4 separate regions of the Mus musculus genome follow, and all the other regions are reported to be linked to region 2. Evidence: microRNA targets listed by miRTarBase, many of them from high-throughput screens and not tested one by one. Region 2 holds a microRNA gene; each other region holds the end of a gene's coding sequence.
What was found. Region 2 holds the annotated microRNA mmu-miR-148b-3p (UCAGUGCAUCACAGAACUUUGU, at 5,302-5,323, shown strand). A microRNA usually pairs through its seed, bases 2 to 8, with sites in the 3' UTR of a target mRNA and lowers its output. Matches are read on the target gene's strand: a 7mer-m8 pairs with bases 2 to 8, a 7mer-A1 pairs with bases 2 to 7 and ends in A, and an 8mer does both.

Region 1: the mRNA of Itgb3 is a reported target of mmu-miR-148b-3p. Seed matches in the 3' UTR shown: 7mer-A1 at 3,489-3,495.
Region 3: miRTarBase lists Ets1 as a target of mmu-miR-148b-3p. Seed matches in the 3' UTR shown: 8mer at 3,999-4,006 and 7mer-A1 at 2,847-2,853.
Region 4: the mRNA of Hpca is a reported target of mmu-miR-148b-3p. Seed matches in the 3' UTR shown: 7mer-m8 at 2,767-2,773.

What each region holds. Positions count from the first base shown.
Region 1 is chr11:104,665,040-104,672,989 of GRCm38, reverse strand. It overlaps Itgb3 (integrin beta 3), which reads right to left. Exons shown (of 15, transcript NM_016780.2): 14 at 7,358-7,524; 15 at 2,517-5,910. The coding sequence ends at 5,845. Among named protein-coding and RNA genes, the nearest start is that of Efcab13, 22 kb to the left of the region's middle.
Region 2 is chr15:103,279,884-103,287,833 of GRCm38, forward strand. Mir148b (microRNA 148b) reads left to right here and starts at 5,242; the gene lies at 5,242-5,338. All of the region lies in intron 1 of Copz1 (coatomer protein complex, subunit zeta 1), which reads left to right. Gm41406 (a long non-coding RNA gene) reads right to left here. Exons shown (of 5, transcript XR_003951562.1): 5 at 6,479-6,817.
Region 3 is chr9:32,751,380-32,759,329 of GRCm38, reverse strand. Ets1 (E26 avian leukemia oncogene 1, 5' domain) reads right to left here. Exons shown (of 10, transcript NM_001372534.1): 9 at 6,413-6,531; 10 at 1,510-5,117. The coding sequence ends at 4,905. Among named protein-coding and RNA genes, the nearest start is that of Gm3331, 28 kb to the left of the region's middle.
Region 4 is chr4:129,107,132-129,115,081 of GRCm38, reverse strand. Hpca (hippocalcin) reads left to right here. Exons shown (of 4, transcript NM_010471.4): 3 at 2,302-2,407; 4 at 2,557-3,512. The coding sequence ends at 2,654. Tmem54 (transmembrane protein 54) reads right to left here. Exons shown (of 6, transcript NM_025452.4): 2 at 6,678-6,871; 3 at 4,648-4,707; 4 at 4,364-4,552; 5 at 4,135-4,269; 6 at 3,456-3,759. The coding sequence ends at 3,694. Among named protein-coding and RNA genes, the nearest start is that of Tmem54, 5.6 kb to the right of the region's middle.

The sequences.
Region 1 (7,950 bases), not on the chromosome of region 2:
TAAGGAACACTTGATATGAAGAAACTAAAGAATTCCAAGATGAAAATAGATCAAAAGTAGATGTTCAAGGCTGGCAAGACTGCGCAGTGAATAAATGCACTTGCCACCAAACCCTGAATTCAATCCTCAGGACCCATTTGATGAAAGGAGAGACCCAACTCCCACCAAGGTATCTTCTAACCTCAGATACGTACTGTGATGTGCACGCGCACGCACATGCACACACACACACAATTTTTTAAAAGAGAGGTTTAAAGAGATTTTTCCTGAGTTAATATCTGGTTTTCTGAATCTGTCCAATAAATGTCTACAGTGTAGTAACTGAGTTAATTAATAATAAAACATCTACCTCTGGGGCTGGTGAGATGGCTCAGTGGGTAAGAGCACCCGACTGCTCTTCCGAAGGTCCAGAGTTCAAATCCCAGCAACCACATGGTGGCTCACAACCATCCGTAACAAGATCTGACTCCCTCTTCTGGAGTGTCTGAAGACAGCTACAATGTACTTACATATAATAAATAAATAAACTTAAAAAAAAAAAAACAAAAACAAAACAAAAAAAAAAAACATCTACCTCAAGAGGACATGGATACACCAACAACATAGCTATCATCAAGCATTCTAAAGTTAGCTACTCTCAAACAAGCAGTCAGCAAAACCATTGGGAGGGGGCATTAAAACACAGATTGCTGGGCTCTGCCCTCAGATTTCCTTCTTTACCCCCTCCCCTTCATTAAAAATAGACTCGTTTCTAACATAATAAATCCTGATTATGGTTTCCCCTCCTTCTACTCCTCCCAGTCCCTCCCCACCTCCCCTTCCATCCCAATCCACTCCCTTTCTGTCTCTTGTTAGAAAAGAACAGGCTTCTATGAGATAATAAAATACAACAAAATAAAATATAATAAAAAAATTACCATGTCAAAGTTGGACAAGACAAACCAACTGAAGGAAAAGAGCCCAAGAGAAGGCACAAGAATCAGAGGCGCAGTTATTCACACACTCAGAAGTCCCATAGAACACTAACCTGAATGCTGTGATATACATGCAGAGCGTCTGGTGTGGACCCATACAGCCCCATCCACGCTGCTTCTGTCTCTGAGACTTCATAGGAGTTTAGTTCATACTGATTTAGAGGGTCTTGTCTCCTCAGTGTCCTCCATCCCCTCTGGCTCCTACACTCTGTCAGCCTTCTCTTCCATGGGGTCCCTGAGCTCTGGACGGGGGAGGGGAGATTTGATGGTGATACCTAACCACTTAAATGTGCCAGCTGAGTGTTCAAGGAACCTATTTAGTGTGTGTGTGTGTGTGTGTGTGTGTGTGTGTGTGTGTATGTGTGTGTGTGTAAAATGTATGGCTGTGGGTCTCTGCATTTATTATTCAATCCTTACATGATACATGACAACATTTTGTATACATGACAGTGGTCTCATGAGATTGTAAGAGAGCTGAATTTTCATATCACTAGGTGTTATCATAGCTATCAAAAATGCTTGTTATTCATATGTAAATGTGTTGCTGCCAAAGTACAACACATCGGTTGTGTACAGTACAGAATACTTGACAATAGCTCTGTTGCCGCTTATGTATTTACCGTGCTATGTTCCAAACATTATTTTAGTGTATACTTTTTCTTCAAGGTTTCCTGTGAAAAGGTATGTCCTTCTCCCTGGCAGCAGCCTCTTCTACCTTTGGTTTCCCGTGTCTCGGGACTGTATTAAGAGGCCTTGGGAAGTGTCTCACTTGCACTCCCCAGATTTGTGTACCCACACACACCTACAGCAGCAGGACTACTCGACAGTTCTCAGGACATATGGTTGTGGTTCTGAGACTTGTCAGTTTTCATTTCTTTGTGAGGGTGTATGTGTATGTGTGCGTGTGTGTGTTTCTATCTGACTGTGTCTGTGTGTATATACGTATGTATGCAGGTTCCCTCGGGAGCCTGAATGGATTCCCTAGACCTGGAGTTGAAGGTAGCTGGGAACTGAACTCCACACCTCTGAAAGAGCAGAAAGCACTCTTGAGTACCGAGCTATCTCTCCAGCCTCTCAACTGCATTTAAAAAACAAAAAACAAAAACAAAAACAAAACTTTCTAGGTGATACTATAATTTACCACTAGCCATTTTAAGTAGAAGTTTGGCATGTAAACGGCCCTGCAAGTCATTTGTCACTGAGATTTTACTCGTGATCCCTACAGGCAAAACCTGGACTATATTGACGACGTGTTCTACTTTGTTTGCAAAAGATCCTAAATAACCCCCAATTTAAAATAATAATAATAATAATAATAATAATAATAATAATAATAAAGCCTTAGAAAGTAGTAACCTGCTCATTTTGAAAATAGCAAAGCTCTGGACTCAGAAGCCAGCTCCAGCTCCCACAGCAGGCACCATCCTGTTACATCCGGAAGCTTGCTTTTACTATACAGTTGTCCCTTTGGAAGGAAGCAGTGACACTCTTTGCACCCAGCAAAAACAGATCTAACAACATGGGGTAGTCTCAGGCCAGTTCTTTTGGAAAGCACATTTAATTCTCTGTTACACAACTCAGAGGAGGTGGGGAGGGTGTCAGGAAGGCGCGTAAGCAATTTCAACCAAAAATGGACAAAGACTCTGATGTTGCTGTGGGCAGCTTCAGAATGACTGTCTCTGAGGGAAAGAACGGGAACAGAGCTACCTGCCAGGCATTCTCTGTCTCTTCCTGTTGTCCTCAGACAGAGACTGGACCGAAACCACCTGTAAGAGAACGGGCCCAGCCGCTCTGTGCTGCGCATTCATTCCCAGCACAATTTTAGATGTTCATCCCCTGGAAACCACTCAGACTGTTCCTCAGCCTCCGGAGAGAACAGCTACAGATATGCCCGAGTCCTGACCGGCGTTGCCGCCCAAGCACCACAAGCCTCATTCCAGAAACCGTCAAGATTCCTACTCACCTTTCACTCTTCTAATACATTTTCTTCCTTCCCTGCTAGTTTCCTCATCTAAACAGTCTTCTCTAAAGAAAACCCCACTCTACTCTCACGGACTCTGCCTCAGTAGCTAAAGGATGGATCTCTGACCATCTTCCCTGTCCCTCTACTGTACTCCCACCACCTAAGCCAAGAGTAACCCAAGGGCACAACCGGACAGTCGCTGGCTTTCTCCTGTACTCGAGGCCTGCTCACCACACCAACATCTGGATCAGCCACTCCTTACTGAAGGTCCTCCCTGGTATGCAGATGCAACTGTATGCAGAGTGAACAAGAAAGAACAAGTTGGATAAAAACTAAGTGCTACATCAGATGCACCCACTAACAAAAGATGAAGGGAGTCTGAGAAGGAATGAGACTCGCTGAGACAAGTTCTAAGAATAGCATCTGCTCTCGTGAAAGCCAAGGCATTCAGTCTGGAAACTGAAAGACAAACAGGAGCAACACCACCTCTCCCCCCACAAAACACACACACACACACACACACACACACACACACACACACACACACGTTTTCAGTGCTGGGAATCAAACCCAGGACATTCCTTAACTGCTTGTTCTACTACTGGTCAACATTCCAGCCTCCTTATACACACACAGAATCTGGACCGCAGGCTTGATACCGTATTTACTCTCGGCATCTTAGGATGTTGATACTAAAGCTGGGAATACAGATCAGTTGGTAATGTTCTTGCCTAGCATGTGTGATGTCCTGGGTTCTATTCCCAGCACTGCATAAGCCAGGCAGGATAACTCATGCCTGTAATTGTAGCACCTGAGAAGTGTAGAAAAAGGATCAGAAGTTCAAGTCAACCTTGGCTACATAGCAAGTTCAAAGCCATCCTGGGATACATGAGACCCTGTCTTTCAGAAAAAAAGAATAGTGACACTTGAAATAGACTTTCCAAGTTACCAAATCCAAAAGAATATTGAACTCCAGAGGGGTGGGGGAAATGGCTTTTCTGAATTAACTTTCAGGTGTTTTGACAGCGATCCCGAGGCCAGGACTCAGGTCTCAGATCATCAAGATGCTGTTTATAGGCCTCTTGTCTCTGGGTGGTAAGCACTGATTTTTAACATTAGATCTAAGTCAATGCCAGCAGAGCAAACCATGCTTGCTGGGCCAACAGAACCCAGAACCCAGTCGAGAAACCTCTTCAAGAAAGGGTCAGTGTGTCCACATACCCATCTTCACATGCTTCCAGGAAGAGGGAAGCCCCTTGCAGACCCAGCCACTGACTGGCAAGTTACTAAGAATGTTTGCCACACACTCTGTGTGGGGTTTTTTATGCTCTCCTTTGTCATCATACAAAATTATAAATATAATAATGCAAGTATGTTTATATACGTGCTCCTCTAGAGTGATCGGGCCTCATCATAGTTTTGGGTGTCCCCATAGGGAATAAAATAAAATTGCACTTGTGGCCTCCCAGATTAAAGGCTGAGATAAAATGAGGTTGTCCAGCCCACAGGAGAACAGGCCACACATGCAGTTCTGACTGGCCTTTCAACTCCTCCCTGGCACGTTGTTCAACAGACTCATGGGAGACTCGGGGGACTCCTTCACAAGACACCGAAGAGGTAGATACACACAAGCACCCCCATGGATGGGTGTAGCAAGCACACAGAGGCATAGGATGAGGTGTGTGGAGGTGCCCGGAAAGAGGAGCAGAAAGCCTGGAGAGTGGGGATGGACCTCCAGCTCTGACCACTGCACTCTCCCCTGAGGAGAAAGCATCTGACCATGAGAGAGAGCCTCAGCCCATAGCATCTGACCATGAGAGAGAGCCTCAGCCCATAGCATCTGACAATGTCAGAGAGCCTCAGCCCATAGCATCTGACCATGACAGAGAGCCTCAGCCCATAGCATCTGACCATGACAGAGAGCCTCAGCACATAGCATCTGACCATGAGAGAGAGCCTCAGCCCATAGCATCTGACCATGAGAGAGAGCCTCAGCCCATAGCATCTGACCATGAGAGAGAGTCTCAGCACATAGCACAAGTCTGTGGCCATCAGGGTGTAGAAGCAGGAGGTAAGAGATGGTGTTGACACAATGACACATGTTCACAAATCTCCTGGGAAGAGCTACCAATGAGGCAATTCTGAATGGCTGTGATTATGATCTTGGAGGTGCTGGCACACCCCCCAGGCCATGCATGACCCCTGAGTGGCCTTGCCATCCTCACCCTTAACAGGCCAAAGAGCCAGGTGACAAGGACTTTCCTTATGAGAGAGAGAGCCATAGCAGGACTGAGGTGCTGGCAAAAGCCACAGGCAACTCTTGAGGACTCGATTCTCCCCTAACTCCACCATCAGCCTGAGGAAGGGAGGGAGGTGGGCAGAGGCACAGACGATACAGCTGAGCTTCAACGTCAAGCACTTTCTACCACAGCTGTTGACAGTCAGCCCCAAGAACCGGAAAATTACAAAGTTGGTATAGAACCAAGACTTGACACCACTTCCTCTGGAATGGGGGTTGGGGAACCTCAGCCCTGCCCTTCTCTTCTGGGAGAATGGCCTGACAAAGCAAGCTAGCTTCTCAGAGGTAATGAGCACCTGCCGGGCATCATGAGTCCCCCTCAAGCTAAGCAGGAAGAATCCTTTGGGGAGGGCCCCTGAGGACAAAGGCTGTGGAGCTCTGCCTGTGAGACACATCACAAGTTTTAAATTACACATTTCCCCACACTCGTCACACACATAAGTACACACAGAGAGATACATTCCCACATACTGACATTCTTCCAGCCCAGCCCAACCCACGCCCCAAATCCCACCCATACACCCACACACCCACACACACACAAATGTCCTCTGTAAACATAATGGCAGAGAGTCCCACGGTCCTGGCGTCATCTGAAGATGGTCTCATTAAGTCCCCCGGTAGGTGATATTGGTGAAGGTGGAGGTGGCCTCTTTATACAGCGGGTTGTTTGCCTGCAGAGGGAAGAGAGGAGAAACGGTGGTCAGCTCCATGCACTTCCTTACCCCAAACGGTTAAACGTCATCTCAGAAATCAGCCAATGTTTACATTTACTCATCAACTCTTAGGATGGGAATAGATAGGAGAGAAGGAGGGGAGAGGGATGCTGTATTGCTGGTCTGCCACTGTTTCTAAGGGTTTTTAATTCAGTCACTTTGGGTGGAAGAATATTTGTCAGTCCCAGACTAGTATACTGTTTGCCCTGCCTCTCCCGTTTCTTCTTCTGTCCCTACTCTTTCTTTCCCTTCATTAAGGCAGTGCCCGCGATGGGAGCCAGAAGGGAAAATGTAGCAGGTGAGGTCAGAACACAGAGCCCGGCTTTTGCTGAAATTATTCCTAACTTGTTTTTATCTCATCTCTCGGGCCAGTTGCTACCCACAGACCTGTTGTGTGCCTTCACCAGGTTTCCCAAATTACTTCCTAACAAAAAGTAAATGAATCCCCCTTAATGGTAGTCAAGAAATTTAGAACATCCCCTCCATGTCAAGAAATCTAGAGAAGTTCCTCAGCGGCTCAAACGCTGTACATTCTTGGCCTGTCTAGGAAAAATAAAGTGAAGTTGGACTTAAAATTAAATAAACAGTTCTCAAAGAAAAATGCTCATCCGACGACGGACTAGCGAGCTGGCAGAGCGGGCAGAGCGGGCAGAGGCGGTTGCTGCCGGGCCTGATGCAGCTGACACTGGTCCTCAGAACCCACGTGGGAGGCAAACCTGACTCCTGCAGACTGTCCCCTGACCTCTGAAAACACACCATGGCCATACACACATGCATGGGGCTTTTGTTGTTTAGATGCTCGTTTGATTGGATTAAATCAGGTTAAACAGCATTCTGGGGTCTCCAGAGGATCCTGGTTTGCAAGCTACCACCTCTCATTTGAAGGAAAAGAGAAAAATGAGGTAAACAGATGTAAGGCCATGACATCTAAGAGGCTGACTCCGAAAGTACTTCCTGTATTGCCCCATCCCTTCCTTTGTCAGGCAAGCTGCTTTACTTCTCTGCCCTCAGTTTCCTTAACTATAGGATCCGAATGATAATATTGTCCATCAAAAGGGCTGTTACGGAGATAAAGTGTCAGAAGCATTTAGCCCTCAGGAGACGTTCTCTGCTATGTCACTTTCTGTACAGTGTGTTACATGTCCCTGATACAGATTTGCCCTGTCCCCTCAACTGGAGAATTAAGCTTCTCCCTTTGTCATAGTATCCCGTGTGAGCTCAGTGATCAGGACATGTGGTCACTGTAAGGTAGAGGACTGGGAGGCCTCATAGCACATACAGATAAAAGAACAGTCAAAACATTTCCCAGTTTCGAGGCTGGCTGACCACTGAGCATCTCCTGCCCCAACCTCGGGTTCATGAACCAAAGACTCCGGAGAACTCAAAGCTCAGCACAGCCACTCACTGTGTCCCACTTGGCTCTGGCTCGTTCTTCCTCAAATTTAGCAAATTCCTTCCGGTCATGGATAGTGATGAGTAGCTTCCAGATGAGCAGAGTAGCAAGGCCAATGAGCAGGATGGCCCCCATCACTGACAGCAGGACCACCAGGATATCAGGACCCTTGGGACACTCTGGGAGGCAGAGACGGAGAGCAGGAATCACCAGAGACTCCCAGGAATGAAATCGGAACAGAGGGATTCAGAGTTGAAGATGGGACCATCAGAAACAGTAAGTTCGTCGCTTTTTAAAAAGGACAATCTTTAGGACAGCAGTCATCTGCCCTGGGTACCCTAAATCGGGGTTCTCCGGCTGAACCTAACCCATTCAGTGTGGAGGGATGGCTCCGAAGCTGAGAACACACGTTGCTATTGCACAGGGCCCAGGTTAAATTCCCAGCATCCTCATGGTGGCTCAGACCCATCTATAGCTCCAGATCACCTGACTCCCCCTCTTCCAACCACCACTGGCACCCAGCCATGAATATGCTACACACATATCCAGTGAGGCAAGTTGCTCTTAAATATAAATCTCAAAAACAAAATTTTTTAAATAAAAAA
Region 2 (7,950 bases):
CTGTTATTCCAGAGGTCCTGAGTTCAATTCCCAGCAACCACATGGTGGCTCATAATGAGATCTGGCGCCCTCTTCTGGCTATGCAGCCAGAATGTTGTATACATAATAAATCTTAGAAAAAAAGAAAAAGAGAAAGAAAATAAGACTTTAGGGCGTTTTAAATTTAGATGTCCAGTCAGGCATGGGCACAGGCCCGTTCTAGTACTTGGGAGGCTTAGCTGGAGGGTTGCAAATTCCAGGCTTGTTTAGGCTATATACTGAGGCCCTGTCTCAAAATACACAAGGGCTGGGGATATAGTACAATGATATCATGGAAAGAAAAAGAACAAAAGGTGTCTCTAGTCCCTTTTGACTTTTTTTCCTTTGCTGAATAATATTTAAGTGCGGGCTTCTGAAGAACCCATTTAGGTGGCAGGGTACTCTGATGTAGCACTTAGGCCTGGCTGAGGAGTACATCTGACTTCAGTTTACCTGGCTGTCAGCATTACCACCTCATTTATGTGAATCCTTTTCACTGGTAATGGCTGAAGAGTTAGGAGCTGTGTGACCCCTGGGGTGGGGGAATTCTTCAGCAGCTAGGTGTCCTGAGTTTTCAGAAAATACTTAGGGAACTGGGCTATAGTTCAGGCCTTTAATCCCAGCACTTGGCAGAGGCAGGTGGATCTCTGAGTTCGAGGCCAGCCTGGTCTACAGAGGGAGTTCCAGGAAGGCCAAAGCTACAAAAAGAAACCCTGTGTGTGTGGGTTATGGGGATGTGGGGGGAGAATAAGACGAAGAGAAGGAGGGAGGGGAGCAGAGGAAGGAAGGAAGAATGAGTGAATGAATGAATGAATGAATGAATACCAGGGGGTCTGGAGAGATGACTCAGCACATAAGAAAAGCACTTATTGCTTTTATAGAGAACCCAGGTTTGGTTCCTAGCATCCACAGGAGATCATACATGTAAAATAAATTCTCTAATTCATACATGTAAAATAAATGTTTTACAATTTAAAAAAATACAATTAAAAAGGGAAAGAAAGAAAAGCAAAGACCTGGTACTCTACATTGCCTAAGAGCTTGAGGCTTGTTAACTTGTACAATTTGGTCACCAAAGCTGGAGGCCACCGAAAGCTGGAGGTTTATGGTGCTGACCCTTACTCCCCCTGCTGGCTGTGTGAGATCCTTGGCCATATTAACTTACAAAGGCCACATATTTTTATTGAAGTTGTTAACTGACTGAAGGCAGAAAATCATTCATTTCCTCTTCACATTCAAAAGACTGTTTGGCTTTTTTGAACAGGGTCTCACTATGTAGCTGTGGCTGGCCCAGATCTCACTACGTCTACCAGTGTGTCCTTAGACTGACAGAGATCAGTCTGCTTCTGCCTCCCAAGGGTTGGGACTAAAGATGTTGGCCACCAAACCGGGCTCTTCACATAATCTTATCTTCAGAGGATTGAATTTTAAACCTAGTTCAGTCTCACCTGTGTGGTGTGGGTGTTTGTTTGTTTTTTGGGGACAAAGTTCAGAAATTTTTATCAGCTTATCACAAGGGTCTGCTGTAATTTTTTTTTTTTTAAAAAAGGCCATAACCCTAGCTAATCTAGGTCCAGCCTTTCACTTCTCCTATGAGGAAGTTGAGTATCAGAGAAAGGGAGGGGAAATTTTGAGTTAATAACTTACCCAGAATTCAGAGATGCCAGCTCCTTCAACTAGCAGAAGTTTTGCCCCATGCTTGGACTCTCCATGTTTCCTATCTGTATGTCTGTATGGGGTAGGAAGATGTGTGTGTGTGCATGCATGCGTGTGCAGATATAATGAATGTGTGTGCATATGTGTGGAGGGTGGAGGCTAACCTCGGGTGCTATTTCTCCTCAGCAGCCAGCCATGTAGTTGGTTTTTGTTCATTTGTTTTGTGTTTTGTTGTTGTTATTGTTTTGAGAGAAGGTTTCTCTGTGTAGCCCTGGCTGTCCTAGAACTGGCTGTATAGACCAGGATGGCCAGAGATCCACCTACCACTCACTGCCTAGCTGAGTTGTTATTGTTGATTACCTTTTTGATTTGGCTGGCTGGCTGGCTAAAAGGGATCTTTGCTACCCTGACAGTGCATGTGATTAAATGCACAAGTACTTCCACCAGCTGAACTATCACTCCAGTTTTGGGGTTTTTTTTTTTTTTTTTTTGGTTTGTTTGTTTGTAGACAGAGGCTTGTGAACTTACGTAGCTGATGATCTTGAACTTTGAGTCTTCAAACCTCTGCCTCTTGACTGCTAGGGTTACAGACTGTGATGCCATGTCTGTTTTTAAGTAATACTAAGGATTGAACCCAGGGCCTCATGCATGCTAGGGAAATACTATAACAGAACCATAGTCTCAGTTCCTAAGAAGATTCTTCCTACTGTGACTTTCTGCCATCAGTACCTCCAGAATATGTGTTTAGTTTCCCCTCTACAACCGAAATTTGGTTTCATATAAGATAGATAATTTCTCCAGGACCCATGGGTCTTTTTAAGATAGGGTCTCATTATATAGCCCCAGCAGGCCTGGAACCCTTTATGTAGACTAGACTGGCCCTGAACTTTCAGAGAGCACCCTTTTTCTACCTCTTCAGTGCTACGATTAAGATTTGTGGAGGAGCTAGAGAAAGTATCCAAGGAGCTAAAGAGATCTGCAACCCTATCGGAGGAACAACATTATGAACTAACCAGTACTCCGGAGCTCTTGACTCTAGCTGCATATGTATCAAAAGATGGCCTAGTCGGCCATCACTGGAAAGAGAGGCCCATTGGTCAGGCAAACGTTATATGCCCCAGTACAGGGGAATGCCAGGGCCAAAAAATGGGAATGGGTGGGTAGGGGAGTTGGGGGGAGGGGGGACTTTTGGGATAGCATTGGAAATGTAATTGAAGAAAATACGTAATAAAAAAAAAAAGAAAAGAAAAAAAAAGATTTGTGCAGCCGGGTGTGGTGGCGCACGCCTTTAATCCCAGCACTCAGGAGGCAGAGGCAGGCGGATTTCTGAGTTCGAGGCCAGCCTGGTCTACAAAGTGAGTTCCAGGACAGCCAGGGCTATACAGAGAAACCCTGTCTCCAAAAAAAAAAGAAAACCAAAAAAAAAAAAAAAAAAAAAAAATGTGTGCAGCTATGCTTGCCTCATGGGTCTTACTTTCTGGGCTTCTTGTTGTTTTGGTTTTTAATGTGTCCCTATGTGTGAATGCCACTTGTGTGTGAGTGCCTGTGGAGGCCAGAAGAGGGTGTCAGATCCCCTGGAATTGAGAGTCACAGACAGTTATAAGCTGTCTGATGTGGATGCTGGGAACCAAACTCCAGACCTGCAAGAGCAGTAAGCACTCTTAACTGTTGGTCCATGTCCTCAGCCCTGTGAGTTTTTCTTTCTTTCTTTTTTTAATGTGTTTATTATTTTGTTTGTGGCACAGTCTAAAGCATATTCTGAGCACAGAATCCACCCCTGAAGCCCCTCAGCTGTGTTTCCCAAATCTAAATGCTATCCTTGTCAAAACTTAGCTAAATCTTCTTTTCATCTGAACTATGTAGGCTTCTGTAGTAAATTAGAGCTCTCAAACTCAGCATACCTTTTAATTTTAAAAAATTTTAACTCAGGGTTAGGTAACAGAATACCTGCATAGCCCTGTGGTGCTGGGAGTGGTATCTAGGAATTTCTCCTTCTAATTTTGTTTTGCTTTTGAGACAAGGTCCCACTCTATCCTAGGCTGGCCTAGAACTCACTATGTGGTCCAGATTGGCCTCTCAACTCCTGCTCATCCTTCTAAGTGCTTGGGTTACAGGTGTGTGTACTACGAAGGGCTCTCTTAGTTTTAACTCTCTAGGTTTCTTTTTTTTTTTTTAGATTTATTTATTTATTATATGTGTGTACACTGTAGCTGTCTTCAGACACTCCAGAAGAGGGCATCTGATTTTTGTTACGGATGGTTGCGAGCCACCATGTGTTTGCTGGGATTTGAACTCAGAACCTTTGGAAGAGCAGTCGGTGCTCTTAACCACTGAGCCATCTCACCAGCCATTTCATTTTATAAGCAGGATTGAAAGACCATCTTGTTACAGTTTTTAATTAATAGATCTATTGCTAAGCCCAAGAATTTTACTGTATCCCAAGAATATCTTTGTAAGTAGGGAACACAGATCTTTCCAGGAATCTCAGCCATATTGTTTTGTTTGTTTGTATGTATGTATGCATGCATGCATGCATGCATGCATGCATGTGTATATATATATATATTTTTTTTTTCGGTTCAGTTTTATTTTATATATACAAGTGTTTTGTCTTTATGCATATATGGGCACCGTGTGCATGCAGTACCTTCAGAGGCCAGAAGAGGGTGTCAGAACTCCCTGGAACTGGGAGCTGGGATCTGAACCTGAGTCCTCTGCAAGAGCAGCAAACGCTCTTAACCTCTGAGCTGTTTCTTTGGATTCTTAGGCCTTTTGGTTTTGTGACCTAAGAGACTTAAATAGTTACTTGTAGTTCTAAAATATCCTGTCTCTCTGCTCTATGTAGACACTGTTCCTCCAAGCTTTTTGATCTCATACAGTGATCTTACCCAACTATTCACTTACTATCCCATATATATTAGTTAAGCCAATAGACTTAATTCCGTAGTTTGGTTTGTATTTGTTTTGAGACAAGGTCATTTGTCCCAGCCTGTCCTAGAATTTGACAAGCTGCTGAGGATGACCGTGAACTTCTGATCCTCCTGCATGTAGGGTTACAAGCATGTGTCACTACCGTTAGCTTTCCGTGTTTTCTTTTACAAACCTGTTTGTATTAGTTTTATTTAAAATGCAAAATACATACAAATCGAGTTTGGTGGGGGTTTGTTTTGTGTGTGGATTAAGCACAAGGTCTCACACCTTAGGTGAGCACTCTGCCCAAACAGCTTAGGCCCCAAACCATTGCCTTTCTGGCACTGTTTGCTTGGGCTGTAATCCTGAGGAAGCTGTGTGTCAGGCAGGAGGTCCACAGAGGGCAGCACTGGGAAGGAATCTTCTTCCTCTAGCCTTCCCAGTATAGGCCTTGGTGCTCCAGACTTGATGTTCCCACCAGGTTTCTGGAGACTCTGATGGAGATCAGAGAGTTAGTTGCAGCAGCCTAGGTGCTTTCTGCATGACGTTTCAGCTGTCCCAAAGACAGCTTTCTAGTTTTCTTGATAATAAAAGCAGACACGAAAATCTATCCCTGCCACTCCTCCTCCCACAGCCAGTCTGCCTACCCACCACTTACAGGCACCCTTAGCATTTGAGGTGAAGTTCTGTTATACACTCAGGCTGTGGCTCTGAAAGTCAGTGCATCACAGAACTTTGTCTCGAAAGCTTTCTAGCAGCTGCCCATTTGGGGAGTGAGAGGGAAGAATAGATCTTTTCAGTCCTTTGAATATGGTCCTAAGATTGTAGGGTCTTTTTCAAGAGTCAGTATTTAATGCATCACAAGGTCAAAGCCCAGTCCCATTGTCCAGGAAGCTCATTTCTTAGCACCTGGGAGTTATTTATAACATGTCCTTTGCAAAGCTTAGAATGAAGTTACATTATTAGTAATGGCTTCTAGAGCCTTTAAACTGGCTGGTTTTCTGATATGAAGGGAATTCTCAGGCTTCCCCACTCCTGAGAGGTAAAGGCATAGGGTGGAGTGGGGCCAGCTACAACAGAAGTGAGGAGAGCTGGCTCTACTACAGCATGATGGTGATGCCTTTAAGTGGCATTCTGTCTCCTGCCGAATACCCCAGCTTTCCTTGTTGTGGGTCTTCCTTTGCAAGTTTGAAACGGTCAGGCTTTGTTCTGCCTTCCCTCTTTTTCCAGAACTCCAGTGCCTGAAAGCTGGTCTGGTCTCTCCTTTCTCCCTTAACCTGTCTTTTATCTTGCTCAGGAAGACCCAGTGTTTCTGTTTTAAGGTTTCTTTGATCATATCTTCTAGGCAACCAGTGAAAGAGTCAGGAGCAGAATCCTGGGTTGTATTCTGTTGTTAGCATGGCTGTGTAGGTGCTTAGACATTGCTGGCCACAAGAACACTGGCTCTCCCACTTGGCAGGTTGCCATTAGGGATTTTGGCTTCTGTGAGGGTGGGGGTGTGTGCTCCCATTCCTTCCAGGAATACCAGACTCTGGCTGCAACAACAGTCACCAATGCCAGATTAAGGTCCAGTTGCAACTTGTGGGCAGCTAGCCCTGTGTGGTTGCTGTGAGTGTGGATGAAGGGGCACAACCATTTCCTTCTGTTAGGATTTTTTTTTTCCCATTAAGAAAACTCGTTCCCATTGAGGGCTCCATTTTGGTACTTGAACAGCCAAGTGGCTGTAGAACAGAGCCTGCTCTGTGGGGTGATCTTTCTGTATGGAGCTAGGAGTTAGTAGAACAACTTCTGTTGGTGGCTCTTAGACTATACTTGAGAAGACTTCCCTATGCCAGACAGCACAGTTCCCCAGTTGCAGAGGAAATGCTCTTGTCCTTTATTCCAGAGAGCAGTGTGGCTAGGGTGGCAGTTTTCAGTGTGTCAGAGGAGAGGGTGGGTTGGCAATAATATCATCGTAGAACAATCTCACTACAAAATCCACTTAGATGCAAAATCCAGTTATAATAAATCATCGTGCTGAGAGATTTCTTTTTAAACTTTATTCTCAACTTTGAACAAATATTGAGAGCTCGGGATTCGCCAGGCATTGCTCTGTGCACTTGAGATGAATTAATGAACAAAATACAAAAATTGGTGAATGTCTTGGTTTGTTTCTTTTTGTTTTTTGAGACAGGACCTCATCAAAAATTACCATCATTAGGAATTCAAATCATATGCACATGAAGACACACACCTGTAATTAGGAAGTAGTAGGTGGATTAGCTTTAAGGTTATACTTGACTGTACACTGGGACTACATAGCATAGCCTACCTGATAAAAAAAGTAAGTGGGGAAAACGAAGCTTACGTTTCTTTTTGTTTGTTTGTTGTTTTTGTTTTCAAGACAGGGTTTCTCTGTATAGCCTTGGCTGTCCTGGAACTCACCCTGTAGACCAGGCTGGCCTCGAACTCAGAAACCCACCTGTCTCTGCCTCCCAAGCGCTGGGATTAAAGGCGTGCGCCACCACTGTCCGGCTCAAAGCTTACATTTCTTAGGTCATTTTCTTTCTTTTTTTTTTTTTTCTTTTGAGACAATAATTACATGTATAGCCCTGGCTGTCCTGGGACTCGCTTTGTAGCCTTGAACTCAGAGATCTGCCTGCCTCTGCCTCCCAAGTTCTGAGCCAGAACTGCTGGGCTCTTATACCATTTTCAAAAGACTGGGTTAGTGAGCTGGAGAAATAGGCCAGCAGTTAAGAGTCCTGGCTTCTGTCTAGTGGTGATGGCACATACCTTTAATCACAGTGACTTCCGGTACAAAGCCAGTCAAATCTCTGAGTTTAGGCCAGCTTGGTCTACATAGAGAGTTTCAGTACATAGAGAGTTTCAGTACAGCCACAGCTATACAGAGAAATAGAACACTGGCTTTTAAGCAGGGTCTGGTGGTATACATCTTTAATACCAGCAGTAGCAAAGCAAAAGGCAGGCAACCTTGAGTTGAGTTCAAGTTGAGTTGAGTTCAAGGACAACCTGGTCTACACAGTGAGTTCCAGGATAGCCAGAGTTTCATAGTAAGACCCTGTGTACAAAACAAAACACAACAAAACAAGAACAACCAAACAACCCAGCACTACCAACAAAATCCACTGGTTTCTCTTCTAGAAGACCCAGGTTCAAATCCTAGCATCCACGTGGCATCTTTAATTCCAGTTTTAAGGGATTCTGACACCCTCTCTGGCCTCCAAGGGCACCAGTCATGCAAGTGGTACACAAGTTTACATGTAGACAAAACAACCATACACATGGGGGGCGGGGAGTGATCACTTTGGAAGCAGTCTTGAGGGTTCAAGGCCAGCTGGGCTACATATTGAGAGCCCTTATCTAGAT
Region 3 (7,950 bases), not on the chromosome of region 2:
TGCTTTTCTCTGCTACTTACCTCAGTTATGTTCTGATAGCTACAGAAAACTGATCCGCACGTATCCGCTTATCAGCTCAGAGATGGAAGCATGGTCAGAAGTTTGGGGAATTGGATATAATTTCATGGCTACAAGGATTCAAACCACTTGGCACATCTTACTTGTTACCTTCTGAAAGCATGTGAAGTCTGTGCATGCCCACCTTCTCTTAAGTGACTCCTGTCAATAGTAGCTCTTACCTTACCCCACCCATCCTTCTCAACTCCTGCAATGGTTGCTATATTACTGCCTTTCCCTCCACAATGGCTTCCATACAGTGGCTTATTGGTGTCATTAAGAGAGCACCAAAGCCCAACTGCCTGAAAATAACCCACTGGATCTGTGGCTTCTGGATGCAGAGAGAAGGGACTAAGCTGACTTCACTCACATGTGCCTTGTGCTGTTTACTGTGGTCTCCGTGTAGTCAGATATCCTGAGAGATAACGTCAACTTGGATCAGTTTTTGTCCAAAGCTTTGACTGAAGCTGCAACCCATTTGAATAGTTTATGCAGGGTTAGAGGATCTCAGATGTGGCTTCTGGTTGGCTTGGGAGTAGGGGCTTTGCCCAGGTTTGCAGCTGAGAAGGACAAAATCTGAGGACCTCACCTCGACAACAAAAAAAATCTGTCCAGGAGTAGTGGTGGCTTTACCAGATACCCAAGACCAAAGCCACTCTCCTGGCCAGCTGGGCTCTGACCACTAGACCACACAGTCCGTGTTTAAAGTGTGCTCAGCAAACCTCAAGTTCCAGGGCTGAAGAAACAGATTTTCCAAAAACACAGTTCTCTTTGTGAACAATTCAGCAAAAATTCTCTTTCCAGCTGTGAGTTGGGATTCATGTTGCAAATGTTGGTGTTAATTAAAAACATCCACCTTCTACAGTTTCAACTAGAAAAAAAAAACCCGCATACAGAATGCAGCCCTAAGCATTCCTGTCCCAAAACACTTGGAAGTATGTATTCTATTCATGACATAGGCTGGAGTGGTTCTAACAGATAGTATCCTTCTTCGTGCCTAGCCCCAGTGGAAAAGTTGAGGCCAAAGAGATGGATGTGATGAGTTCTAACTGCCAAAGAGCACAGCTTTCTTCAGAAGAAACCAAACATCATGGTCTGTCTATATGAACATCAGGAACTGGACCTAGCTGGACTCCATCAGTGACTACCCGTTGAGTCGTCAGTTTTTTTCTTCACATGGTTCTTGGTCCTTCAGACATGAACAGTGATGTTTGACAAGGAAGGTGGGGGCAACAGCACAGGTGGAAACAAACAATGCAGGGAATCACTGGGACAGGAATCCTGTGTCCCTATACCTCTAACCCTTTATTAGGCAACCTTTATCTAGAATGACCCTAAGCCGCAGGATCTGGAGAACTGCCCTGTATTTCTTCTGTGCTTTTCTCTGGTTGATTGATTTCTCCTAATTCTCCCACGACGTAGACAGGAAAGAATCAAGCCAGAGCCACCTCATTATGAATGAATTTCTTTGTTTCTTTAATTTCACACAGTTTAAAATACAATATGAAATCAGCCTACAGTATATAAAAAATTTTCCAGCAAAATGATGTGCCAGCATCAGCTACTTAAATGAAACAAACCAAAAACTCCCCCATAAGAATTTTTTGCATTTGTTTTTAAAAAAAAAACAAAAAACATTTAAGACACTTACATCGCTACATCTCTAAGCTACCTCAGTTCTGATTTTTAAAAAGCACCTGCTTTTCCTTTTTAAATCTTGCTTTTAAATTTTCAGCATTTAAAAAATATAAATTATATGAAAATACAAGTTGGAAAAAGTCAAACACAATATAACATCTTTTTCACCTCAATAATTCTCAGCTTTAAAAAAAAAAGTATCCTTAAAAAAAATTCAATAACTGAGGCAGTATTCCTGATAGAGATAAATTCACTTTAACATATATACTTCATATATGTATTTGTATACATATACTTGTGGTTCCTTGAAACGTCTTTGGAATGTACGTAAGAGTTCAACAGGTTTATATAGACCCCAACAGAGAAGGCCGCATGCACAGCATGGCTAGGAGAGAGAAGGTGTGATTTCACCATGAAGGTTAATGCTTTAAAACCCAGAGTGCTGGTCTCCAAAGTGAGGAAGAGCATCTCTGATCCTGAATGCTTACAAGGTCTCCATGGCCACACCATCAGAGCTCTCCGCAGGGAGCATCCTTAGCCCCGCCTCTGAGCCCAAAGCCAGCCACACAGGTTAAAGCATTTCTCTGGGAAAATGATGGAGTCGCCCAGCTAGGTCAGATCTGTTCATCCTTCCTGTGAAGTGAACGTGTTTTAAAAGAGCATCAATGCAGCAATGCTGCTACATTTCCAGTGTATAAACCACCCGCCACTCTTCCTGGGATGGTCTCTGGCCTTCGGAGGAGATGGGGGAAAGCATCTGGCCAGATGGACAACAAAGCTGTCTGACTAATATACTATCTACAAATCCTGAAAAGTGGTGGACCTAGGGAGAAAGGGCATCAAGGCAGGCAAGTCAGCACGCTGAGGAGTGTGGGAGACACTTTCTTATGTCTTCTCTGCTAGGGGACTGCAGGTGGTAGGCTCTCAGGAGGGGCATTCCCAGCAGGAACCCAATATGGAGAAGGGTGAAGACTTGGGGAAGTGATTTTTTTAAGCCCTGTTGCAAAGAGCAAACAACAATACCAGCCCCGGCTGTACTCTTTCATTCACCATTATGGAAATGTGAACAGACTCTAAGTAGAAAATTCAGTACTATTTCAGCTGCAACTTTATACAAATGTACACACACACACACACACACACTCACACTGTCAGTGCCCAACAAAGATCACATAACATAAGAGAAAACAGCATAATCCAAATGATCCCACCTAACACTCCCTGAGCAGCTCCTAAATATTTTGAGAGCTTCATTAAGGCACCTGCATTTGTAAGATCAAAATATATAGCTGGAATGTTTGGCCTTTGCTTCCTTGTGGGGATGCTCCACTCAGTCAGTACAGAACACCCACGGACAAGAGTTATAGTCTTAGTAATTCAGAGTCTTCAAGGGAATGTGGGAGTCAGCCATCAACTCTCCTGGAAGATGATACCAGGGAGCTACAAACCCCGAAGGGTGAGCCTGGAGAGGCCCACCTCAGCCAATTGCCTCTCTTCTCTCAGGGATGTCACTGTCACTGTCTTAACTAGGCAGCTATACAGTGGAAGGGATTCTAATGATCCCAGGCATGTCTCCTTACTTTTTTTTTTAACCCACAATGGCTTATTTTCAGGTCTCCTCTCCCATCAGGCAGGATGATGGCTGCCTCAATTAAGTCTGAGTTTAAACTTGGAGGAAACTAAACATCTATCTAACTGTCTCGGGCCACCTTATTTTCCTTACCTAAGCGCCTTCCCTTGTATTTTCTCCGTCTCCCTCTCACCGCAGTTGACCTGGGCTTGCCCTCTGCTGAGGTGGTAACAGGTCAAGTGCCAGTGCTCCCTGCCACTTCCCGGCAAGCAGTCTCACCTGAAATCCTACCTGACGAGCACCAAGTCTTCAAAGGAGGCCGAGTCACATGCTACTGAAATACCCTCTCCACTGCCGTGGCCTCCGAGCCCTAGCAAGTCTGGACTCTTGGATTTGTGTTGTGATGGCTGAAACTACACTTTCAGTCACGTGTCAGGATGCATTACACTCCACTTTCACTGATCAGTGATGAGGGAGGGGCAGCAATGAGGGATGCCGGGGGGAACATAAGACAAAGTAGAGGAGAACTGAGAATGTTAGTTTGGAATGGCATGCATTGAGGCCTTAAGACCCTCGGGGTAATGCCCATGCAAACGGCTTTTATTCTGAGTCTTCCATGTTTCGGGTAGCGGTTTAACCAAAACCCAGGTTAATCCTGCTCCTTGGATTTCGTTTCCAAGACTTGAACTGTGCTATGATGCCGACGATTCCATAGAAGAGCTGCAGAATACATTCAGTGCAGAGACTTAACGCCCCGTAACTAACACTAAGTCCAAAGCCTGACAGTGAATCAAAGGAAAACAGTTTTTACAAACCGCAGGTGGAAGTCACACGCACAGTCCCCCTGTCCCCAGATCAGCATTCGTTTCCTTTAGCTGTAAGAGTTTGGGGTCTCTGATCTCAGTACAGAACTGGGATTTTTCCAATGGGGTCTATATAAACAGTTGTCTTTCACTGTGACAAGAGTCCTCAGCCAGCAAATAACAACAAACTCACAATACTGCAATACTGAGACCACCTTAGAGCTTAAGACGATATTTTTTTAAGGAAAAAAAAATACTGGCACAAAATTTAATAAAATAAACTTCAACATAAAAACAGTTTTGGACCCCTTCAATCAAAGTCCATCATTGTTTCAAAAAGTAGAAAGGTTAATAATTCTTGAGTTTAGTAATCCCCTGAAGAAACTGTTTTCAGCCCACCCACAAAACTGACTGGCTTTCATCAATCTCTTTCATCTCAATGTGATCATTCCTCCCACTAGTAGATCCACAACTCAAGATGAATTTTTTTTTCTTTGATTTAAAAAAAAAAAAAAAAAAAACGGACACTTAAGTTTTTTTTTCCTCTGCAAGCCAGGTCCAACAGGCTTCTGAGAAGACCTCTCCCTTCTGAAAGTCTGCTCAGGAGCTATTGCCCCGCCCACCCCGCAGGTCCTGACCTCCTCTTTCCGGCCCACCAATGGCCAATGGAATACAGCGGCGCTCCCTCAGCTCCCACCCCTGAATGTGAAAAATGAGTTCTGGAAAATAAAACATTGAATAACAATTAAAAATGAAGAGTCCAACCAACAGGGTTGCTCTTTGAAAGGTCTCAGCAGGGTTCCCCCAGCCCCTTCCTTCTGCGCGTCTGTCCATGACTAGTCAGCATCCGGCTTTACATCCAGCATGGCGTGCAGCTCTTCAGGGGTGTATCCCAGCAGGCTCTGCAGGTCGCACACAAAGCGGTATACGTAGCGCTTGCCCGCCGTCTTGTGGATGATATTTTTGTCATAATAGTAGCGAAGGCCACGGCTCAGTTTCTCATAATTCATCTTAGGTTTGTTTTTCCTCTTTCCCCATCTCCTGGCCACCTGTAATAAAAATAAAATTAAATACAAGTGTCTATACAAGTCTTCACATCCATCATGGTGGTCAAACAAACATCATGTGTGTGTGTGTGTGTGTGTGTGTGTGTGTGTGTGTGTGTGTGTGTGTGTGTGCATATGTCTGACTTATTCCTTCATTTCCTTTTTTAAAAAATATTTTGAATTGTTTATAATAACTATACATTGAATGTATAGTTAGGAGCCATGGACATTCTGAGATTATTTCAAAAGATGTAGGCAGAACAATGCAACATTTTAATACAGCTGTGCATTGTGTCGTGATCAGACCAGGCTAAATGGCATGTCTTCAATCACAGGCATTTCCCATTACTTTCTGGGGACCATGCAAAATAACCCACATTAGCGATTCTGAAATACCTGCTAATGTTCTGTAGGCACCCTACAGTACCACAGAGATTCCAGAGTTGCCAATTCCTGTACCTGCATTCTTGGGCTCATTAACCAGGGTCTCCCCAACCCCTTAGCCTCCTCCTGGCCATGCTCAGATACGTCACTCTTTTATCCTCTGTGTCTGTGGAATCAGCAATTCAGTGTCTACATGTAAGCGAGAATATGTGCTGTCTTTCTGAGCCCAGAGTATTCCTCTCAATAGGACAATGTCCCTATCCCATACATGTGACTGCAATAGAACTTCTAATTTCAAGTGTCCAAGTGTTGAGTTCCATTTACTTGTTCAAACAGTGACTCTGAACTCCTCTGGAATACAGTTAAAACACTTGGTCTTGAAGGAAAAGGAAGAGCCGTGGGGCAGACATCCCTCTGGCCCACATTATAAGCAGGCATCCTTAAAATGAAAGCACAGAACTGGGCAGAAGGGAGAGGATGGGAGGAGAGCGCTGGCACCTCTGCTTCCACCAGTAGGAAGCATCCTTTCTGGACCAGGGTAGAGACACGTTCTCATGTCTGCCAGAAGAGAGATCTCTTCGTTCATATACCAACCATTTATTCAACACTCTGGGATGAAAGGATGGAAAACGATCAGAGTGGATGCATCTTTCCAGATGCACAGAGCCAGGGACTAGACAGAGGGCAGGACCAACTCTGTACCAGGAACTTATATATACATCAGTTTGTCCCAGAAAGTGTACACACTTTGGGCTCTGCCAATGATGAGACAGAAGCTCGGGCTGGCTGCATCATAGGTCGCACACGCAGCAAGCAGCAGAGCTGAGCTAGAAATCTGGGCCTACAGGATCACAATCCCAGCATTTTCTCTCGCCCATTCTCAGCCCAGGACTCCCAAGTCACTCATTACATACCTCATCTGGGTCAGAAAGCTTGAATTCCCAGCCATCTCCTGTCCAGCTGATAAAGGACTGACAAGACTTATCAGTGAGTAATTCCAGAAGAAACTGCCACAGCTGGATCGGCCCACTTCCTGGAAGCACAAGGCACAGTGGCTCATTAACAAAACACACTGAAGGCTCACAGCAGCTAGGCCCACTAGGCAGCAACCCTCACCAGCCTCCCAGCCTGTCTAGACAGGCGAAAACTCAGGCAAGCGACAGCACAAACACTGGAGTCAGTACTCTGCGTTCAGAGAAAGTAAAGATTTCCCTTCCAAAAGAAAAAGGAAATCACACAGGATGATACACCATGTGTCTGTTTTTATTAATTTCCAGGTTGGTCTCTTTTAATTGCTGTGCTCTTTTAATTCCAGAGTTTTCTGGAAAGACAACACCAAGTCTATCTTCACACGTGTTCTACGGAATTACTAATCTTGTTTGTTTGTTTGTTTGTTTGTTCTGAGATGACTCACTACAGAGAACTGGCTGGCCCGGAACTTGTAGACCAGGTTGGCCTAAAACTCAGAGATCCACCTGCCTATGTCTCCCTGGTGCCAAAGGAGTTTAGTCTCTCCTCAGCACACATAAGCTTTGTGAAGTAAAGGAGCCAGCTCTTCCTTACCACAATGAGAATATACCTCCAGCTCTGTGAAGCCATCTTGCAAAACACATTGTGAAAATAAAAGCACTCAGCAAGTGCCTTCTAAGCAAACGACCTAGAGGGCTGTAAAGCCTTCACTCCCGTCACATCTACCCATCTGTAAAATAATCCACTTAGTGTACAACTCAAATACGTGTTCAGATTTCTTGGGAGTCCAGGTAAGTTAGCAGCTGCTCTGAGCTCAGGAAGCTAAAGATGGCAAATGAGAGACTCACTGAGAAGCCATTCTTGGTGACCCGGGAGCAAACCTCTCTTGAGAAACGGACTATATAAGAGCTCCGGTGTCAACTCTTAAGTTTCCTGATGATGCTCAGTAATCTCACACATCCCTGACAGAGAGACACAGAAAAGATGACCTGAGTCCTATGTGCACTCTGTATTAACACTACAGACCTCAAATATGAGAAGATTGCTAACAAAAAACTAAGGGGAGCTGCTACACACTCCCTTAGCTACACATCAATCACTGTGGCCTTAGCTACACATCAACGCTTTCTCTCTGCTTGTGAATTCTCAGTGACTCAACGGGATAGATACTGTTATTAGTCTATCGGTTCCTACCGTGCAGGAAAACAACAACAAAACCACAATGTACAACACAGCTATCTAACTTGGGTGAAGGCAATCAGAAGAGAAACAGGATAGCTGGGTCAAGACTTCAGATTCTTCAATACACTGCCCAAACCAAAAGCCAAGGGCCTAATTAGATTCCCTGCCTGGTTGCCGTAACTCGAGTGCTAAATGGTTCTAGCTTTCAGAAGCCATCTCCCTTGCTTCTCACGTAGTCACACTCTTGAGATACACATGGCCTACTATGCTGGGTACCTATCCCAACAAGTGACAGTGCCAG
Region 4 (7,950 bases), not on the chromosome of region 2:
AGCTCCCACTCCAACAGGAGAGATTAAGGCACAGATTGCACCAATGAGGTCAGGGACTGGTATATAAAGGGAACACCTAGGAGTCCAGAGGACCGAAAAGCCTGAAGACACAGTCGATGAATAATGACAGTATAAGCTGTTATATAGTGACCACTTACGCCAGCCACTGTAATCCTCCAGACAGTCCCAATGAGATAGACGCAGCACTCCCATTTTACAGATAGCAACTGAGGTTCACAGTGGTTAAGCTCTTTTCCAAGGAGAGAGAGAGAGCGAGCAAATGCAGAATGGACCAGGATGTCACTCCAGAGCTCCTGCTGTTTATTCTTCCAAATTGTCCAAGCATACATCAATCGACTCTCAACCTGTGGGTCACCACCCCTTTGGGGGTTGAATGACAGTTTCACAGGGGTTCCCATGTCATATACCCCGCATAACAGATATTTATATTGCCATTCACAACAGTAGCAAAATTAGAATTATGGAGTAGCAGCAAAAGTGATTGTGTAGTTAGGGGGTCATTACACTATGAGGAACTGTATTAAAGGGTTGCAGCATTAGGAAGGTTGGGAACCACTGTATTCACAGCTCAGAGGGAGCAAGCTCTGAGCTGGTGCCTTCCACCCCTTCCCTTCCCAAACCAGAAAGGGGAGACTCGATGCATGCTTTTTTTTTTTGAGTTGATGTACAGTTTAGAAATCCTGCATGTGTGCCAGGTACTGAGGTGCACACCTTTAATCCCAGCACTCGGGAGGCAGAGGCAGGAGATCTCTGAGTTCGAGACCAGCCTGGTCTACAGAGTGAGTTCCAGGATAGCCAAAGCTACAGAGGGAAACCTTGTCTCTCTGCTCGTAGGATCTGGCCCATAGTGCTTGCATGATACATGGTAGCTCAGGCAGTGGCTGTCAACGTTGAGGAACTGGAAAGGCCCAGGGGTGTGCAGTTGTGGCAGAATCACCCCTCCAGCGAGCAAGGCCTGGTGACGGTGAGGCCAGCAGTGGACAGCTTCTGATGTATCCTGAATGCCAAAAGCAAACGGTTTGGACTTGGTACAGACAGTTGTGGGTGGTGACAGTGGCCTTTCAACAGGGAGTTCCCTGCCATGTGCCAAAGCACTGTACTGGGATTTGGGGACTTTTAGAAAGAGCCAGAGTTACTGTTCTCATCTGAATGGTAGCAAGCAGGTACAGTCCTCCAGGGAAATAATTACTTCCTGAGAGGTGTCCACCCTGGAGGCTCTGTGCAGCTGACATGTCCTGACCCAGTGCTGGATCACAGACGACCTTGCTAGGAAAGGCATTGTACACGGAACAGCCAAGAAGTGGGCGGCGGCATCCAGAGGGAACTGGTGCTCGGTGGGCCTAGAAGGAGGTCTGTGTGTGCAGGAAATAAGGGGGCGGCCTGCTGGTTTGGGGATGTGGTAGTGGGGGTTTGTGTTTAGAGCCTTCTGAAGCAGTGTGTGGGACAGATCTGAAGGAAAGAGGCCAGAAAAGAGCAGCGCAGAGACAAAGGTGGACAAGAAGAGGGTGGGAGGGGGGACGAAAGGAGGCTTCTTGGAGGAGGCATCGCTGTGAAAAAAATTGGAGGTTCGAAGTGACTAGTCTGGCCTTTGAGCTCCAGGGAGCAGAAGCAGCCCGTCCCACAGACCGAGCACTCCGTGCTCTGTACAATAGCTCAGCAACTCTCCTTCGTGTTGCCTCTGGAGCTCCTACACGTGGCAGCTGCCGCCCTCAGCCATGCAGAGCTCAGGCTGTCCCTGGACCCGTGGCAGGTGCTCATTTGCATTGGTTTGCATAATGTTCCCGCCCCTTCTAGGTCCCAGCTGCCTCGAGGCTGCTCTGAGCCCCCTGCCGGCCGCAGACCACAGTGCCATGTCCTTCAGCTCAGCGCCCCCTGTCGGTTACCGAGTGGGAGCGCTAACTCAACCCTTCGGCTCAAACATATACCCGAGGAGCAAGTGCCTACATTTGGCGTTCTAGGCACTTTGCTATCTGGGCTTGGAGGTCCTCCAACATCTCCCTTGACTCAGTGCACCCCAAATGCTTGACACCCACCTGAAGCTTTCAGGTAGTAGTGGCTTTGTTCATCAGCTCCATCAGCAATTCCCACCTGGCCGGCCCTCTAAGGGCCTTAGCCCAGGGCACTCTTCAGCCTCTCCAGACTTTTCCTTACTCCCTCCTCCATGACCAGCAGAGCAGGACCCTGGGATGTTTATAAGAGACAGCGCGCAGGATGGGAGCTTAACCCAGCCCTCCTTTACTCCCTGATGTCCTCTCCCCCTCCCGATCCTCCATCCCACAGGCCATTTACAAGATGGTTTCGTCCGTGATGAAAATGCCCGAGGATGAGTCGACCCCGGAAAAGAGGACTGAGAAAATCTTCCGCCAAATGGACACAAACAATGACGGTGAGTGGCGGGGGGGGGGGGGGGGGAGATTGGGGGGGAGTGATAGGGGTGGAGGAGGGTGGGCAGCCTTCCTCCTTCCCTCTCCTGAGCCACCTGCCTGGCTTCGCAGCCACCTTCTCCTCATTTACAGCCCTCCCTTTGCCCTGCAGGCAAGCTGTCGCTGGAGGAGTTCATCCGCGGAGCCAAAAGCGACCCATCCATCGTGCGCCTGCTGCAGTGTGATCCCAGCAGCGCCTCCCAGTTCTGAGCTGAGAGGAGCCAGCTCGCCTCCCTGCCTTCACCGGCCCTCCGGCTCTCAGCTTCCTCTCCCTCGTGTCTATCCAGGCTGGGGGCCAGACTGGGGATCCCTTTCTGGGGTCTGCACTGTGTGTGTGTGTGGGCCTCTGGAGAAGTGAAACCTGCAAGGAAGGGGCTAAGCAAGACAGCTGTTAGTCTCCACGGCCCAAGAGGCAGAATCTCCCTTAGTGGGACCGAGATAGCCCTCCGGTCAGGTTCTGTATTCTTTAGTGAGACAGCTGGATCATCTTACACCCACCCACAGTCAGGAGGATCTTCCACAACACGGGGGCAGGGGGGCGGGTAGGTCCCCTTTGGGTGGTCCTCAGCCTGGAGGGAGGTGGGGAGTCATGCCAAGGTGAAGAGTCTTTTTGTTTGGTGGGGAGCCACGGATGATTTCTGGGCTGTGGGGCTTTGAAGAAGTTCCCTGATCTACTTCCCTGCAGAAGAACACTTCTTGTCCCAGCTCTTGCTGGCTGGAGGCCATGGTAAAACAAAACAAAACTCCCAGGATTCCAACTGGGGGTCCCCAAACTCAACCTGCCTCTTTGCACTTAGATAACCACAGATTTACCCCGTCTGTACTCTGTATTTCACCTCTCTCTCTCGTGCACTCACGCAAACACACACACACACACACACACACACACACACACACACACACACACAGAGGCCCACAGACAGATGGGCAGAGCCCCTCCACAGCATTCTGTGTGGGAAGGAAGCGCAGGCCCCCGGCCAAGCCCCATGTCCCTCTGCATGCAGCCACACGGAGCATCTTGGTTCTTTTTAATAACTTCAAAATAAAGTCTTGTTTCAGTGCATTGTACTCGGTGGCCAGGGGAGGGCGCTCAAAGCCCTCTCCCACGTCCCCAGTAGTCCATTGACTTTTCATGGGCGTGCTCTAGGAATCCTGGATCCCACTAAACTTCCATGGCTGGTTGGGCACGGGTCAATACAGGTGTGGTCACGTGCCTCAGTAGCCATGGCGCTGCTGAAGTGTCAGAGGGTCAGCTGCAAGAACTGGCGCAGCTCAATAGGTCATGAGCATCCAGGGGCTCTGGGCTTGCTTGTATCTGCAGACACAGGAACTTGGTTGTTTCCCTCTGCCTGGGGTCTCTATCTTCAGGACACCCTCAAATTGGAAGAAGGAAGGGCTTCTGGGGCACAGGGGAGGACAGCACTATCAGTCATTCATGACAGGCCAGAACCCACTCCTCCCCCAACTGTCTCCTGTATAATCCCCAAAGACCAGTGCTTCTCCTCAAGATTAGGAGAGCCAGACATCAGCTGTGTGACTTAGCTGGCACATCCGGCCTCTCTGGACTTTGGAGCCCTTTGGTAGTGCTGAGAAAACTTTTGCTCCAGTTATGTGAGGCCCTGTTCAGAAGGGGTGAGGCTGACCATCCAGGGGCCTCCCAGGACTATGGGGGGTGGGGGTGGTGACTTACCGTGTGGTGGCAGCTCTTCCCCCACCAGGGCCTTAGTTCCAGTAGTCCATGCATGAGCTGGGCGCAGCGCACGGCAGACATACTCTCCGCCAGACAGAATATGAGAGAGATGGCCCAGAGGCACAGGCTAGAGCTCTGAGGGGTCCAGGGGCAAAAGCATCTAATTAGGGAAAGGGGTACAGGTAGACCCAAGAGTCCTTCCCAACCCTTTCCAGGACGAGGCACTCACATAAATTCGAGTAGGGTCAAAAGGACAGTCAGGTGCCAGTGTTGGGAGTTCAGGGTTCTCAAAAGTACAGGCCGCCAATAGTGCTCTACCCTTGGTGGCGAAGGTCACTGCAATGGAGGCCAGGAGTCCAAGGGCACAGGTCAGAGAGAGAAGAGCACAGGCCACACTCAAGCTAAACACGGTCCAGCGCTAGGCAGAAAGAGCACTGGTCAGTGGATATCACTCTTGGCCCCAAGAGGGCTGCTGGCCCAGCCCACAGTCCCATCAGAGGAAATGCCACATACCAAGGGGGTGCTGGGGAGGTAGCGTGACAAGACGATGGTCGAAATTCCTGCAACAATGACCTGTGGGGAGGCTGGAATCAGCTGGGATCAGCCGGTGCTGGAGGGCAGCTCGTGGGGTCACATCCCCCCAACGTCTTCCACGGTTCTGCAGTCTCCACTCCCACCCTGGCCTCTGGCTTTGGCCTCATAAACTCCCACTCCCTACGGCCTTCCAGGGCTCCGCACTGCCTAAAGCTGTTGAGTCCGACAGGGTCCTGTGTGTCCTAAGTTTTCGGGCATAAGCCCGGGAGTGTGCTAGGCCCCAGGACCCACAGCATATCTCCTTAGGATGGAAAAGACTGGAAGAAATGCATTCTACTAACAAGGTACTAAAACCAAAATGATATAAATCAGAAACCAGGCATGGTGGCAAATGCCTACACTCCCAGCACTGAGGCAGGTGGATTGCTGCAAGTTTAAAGCCAGCCTGGTTTACATAAAAGGTTCTTTTCCAGCCAGGACTATGTAGTGAGGCCCCATCTTAGACAGACAGGACACATCATAAGCAGAATTCAGAATCTTTAAGAGGTGGCCAAGGATGGGGCTTGGGAGTAGAATAGTTGCCTGGCATGTGTGAAGCCGGGGTTCAATCCTAAGTACCACAAAAAACAAAGAGACCTCTAAGAGCATCAAATTATCCCAGGCTCTTAACGACCTAATCCTGGCCTTCTCTGGTCTGTCCTGGACCACTGTCTTCCCTCATTTCACTGGACCTCATGCACACTCGCAGATTATCCTTTCCAAGGCGCCCTGCTCCTCAGTCCTAATGCCCCTACATCCCCAGAGACAGGATTTCCTGCACACTATTCAGCTCAGTGGCTGACCTCTAGATCCCTAGGGCTCCATTTAGCCTATCCGCCTTCCTAGTGTCGATCTCTGTAGTGGACACAGTACCACTGGGGGTATAGTGGTAGTGTTAATTTACTCTGCAGCCACAAGAAATTACCTCAACTTCTCAGGGCTGAGCCCCTCTCTGTAGGATGCGCTCACAGGAAGATAACCACATCCAAGGGAGTGGAGTGATTCCCCCAGTCATGGGCAGCTGGGAGTGTTTTACTGGGGAAAGGTGAAGTGTTCCAGCCCCAGAGCCCTCTGACCCTGGGCTGGCCACCTTCCATGCCCTCCTCAAATGGCTGTTGAGCAAAACAGATACTGATTGGCACATAGCCCTGCATTCTTCCTGCCGTTGGAACTTCCACAGATCAGAGCCTGGTTCACCAGGCCTGGAGGCCACCAGGCTGTCAGAGGCAGAGACCAGCTCAGAGAGAGAAAAGTCCCTCTGTCAGGAGTCAGCAGGTCTCCCAGAGATGAACAAGTCTACAACCACCTTAGCTGACCGGCAGAGAAGAGCTTTTGTACACCTAAGTACACCAGACTCTTTCATTTATTCATTCATCAAACAAAGATGTCCCAGTATCACAATGACTACGGCTTATATCAAGTGGCTCATGTAGTCTGCCCTAGTGCTAAACTCCTGTCTGACTGTTTGAGTCAGTGTCTTCAGCACAGATCTCAGCCGTTCCCAGCTCCACACATCTGCACCTGCCACACAGCCTGTACATGGAATGCCACCCTGGCATGCCTTTCTGCTAGCCAGCCCCAGCACGCCGCATACTTGGGTTGTTAATTACAGTCCATTGGGAACGCCTACACATCCATAAATACCCAGCTCAGAGGTCTACTCCTCCATGAAACCCTCATTGACCCTCCCTAGCTAAGCTGAGGTACCACCGCACCGTGAATATCTGTCACACTGGCCATGTGCCAGGCCCCTCGCTTAAGCACCTTCTGTGGATGACTCCCTCAGATGTTCACAGGGAACCTCTGCTGTGCACACATACTCTCGCCACCCCCATTTTACAGAGGACAAAACTGAGGCAGAGAGCGTTTGAGTGCCTGCACAGTTTGTATATGGTTATACCGTATATGCTTGGGGCTCTGACTGGGACGCAGCCCCTCCCCCTTGCTGGCCCTCCCAGCCAGGCCATTACCACAATGGCAGAGGTGACAGAGAGGATGTCCACTGCGCAGTACTGTAGAACCACAGCGTCACTGGTGGTGGCTACGAAGCGAAGCATGGTACCATGGAGCACGGCGGCTGCAATGAAGCTCACGTGACCCAGCACAACCAGCACCAGACCCGTCTTCATCAGCACCTTCCGGAACTCATCCACATTCAGGCTACCTGCGGGGGACACAGGTCGGGATCGGGGTGAGGCGCCTCCTGCTGGGTGGTGTAGGACATCTGAGCCTCCCCTGTTTCTCTAAAAGCTTCACGGTTGGTGCTTAGTGTGAAATTGGAAAAACGCACAGGAGATCCACACAACTGTCCTTGTTAACTCTTGTGTTCTGAGTAGCAGTGATCACTGAGTCTCCCAGCCACCCAGTCATCCACTCAACTGCTCCATATATAAAAGCGCTCTGTACACCTGTCCCATGCCATGCACTAGGAGAGCCGTGAGCCCAGTATATACTGTCCAGGCCCCGAGGAGCCTGCAGTGCACTGGGCAGGAGTCAGGCCTTGCTCAGCAGTCAGTTCGGTAGATGGAGCCTGGCACACACAGTACTTAATGTGCAGCTGCTAAGTGGAGCTATCGAGAGCCGTCTAGACTCTGCTTCTCTTCCTGGAGAGGAAAAGAGCCCTTGTTTCTCAGTGTGGACAAAGTCCATGGGTGAACAGGAAATCGGGGACCCAGTGCAGGCTGTGCTTAACTGGGGTTGGGACCAGGAGGGACTTTGGCAACAACCACACTTTCTGAGTGGCCAAGTCCTATCCCGTTCACATAGCAGGAAGCCCTCCTCCCCTGAAATGCTCTCTGCTCCAACATCACACATGGCTCTTGGCCATGCCACCTGGATGCCTGCCCCCACCCTGGGCTCTGAGTTTAGCCAGCTCTGAGAAACTGCAAGAGTGTGGTTGGCCCTCAGTTAAGCAGAGCCCTTCCTTCCGGTCCTGCTCCCAATAGGCTCTGACTTTGAGACCCTCCACGTGCGGCAGAGAAATTTAGCCCTGTTCCCTATACGTGAATGAAAACAAGAAACGGCTAAAGAATCATTAAGTGGACATTCTCTGGGCAATTGCAGGGGCCAAGGAGGCCAAGAGGACTCATAATCCTGTATTTAGGAGACTGAAGCAGGAGGATTGTTGCAAAGTCAGGACCAACTTAGTTACAGAGTGAGACTCTGCCTAAAAAAAATAAAATAAAATAAAATAATTATTTGTTTATTTTGGTGGTGTAGCCACTGGTAAGTCGCCTATGTTGC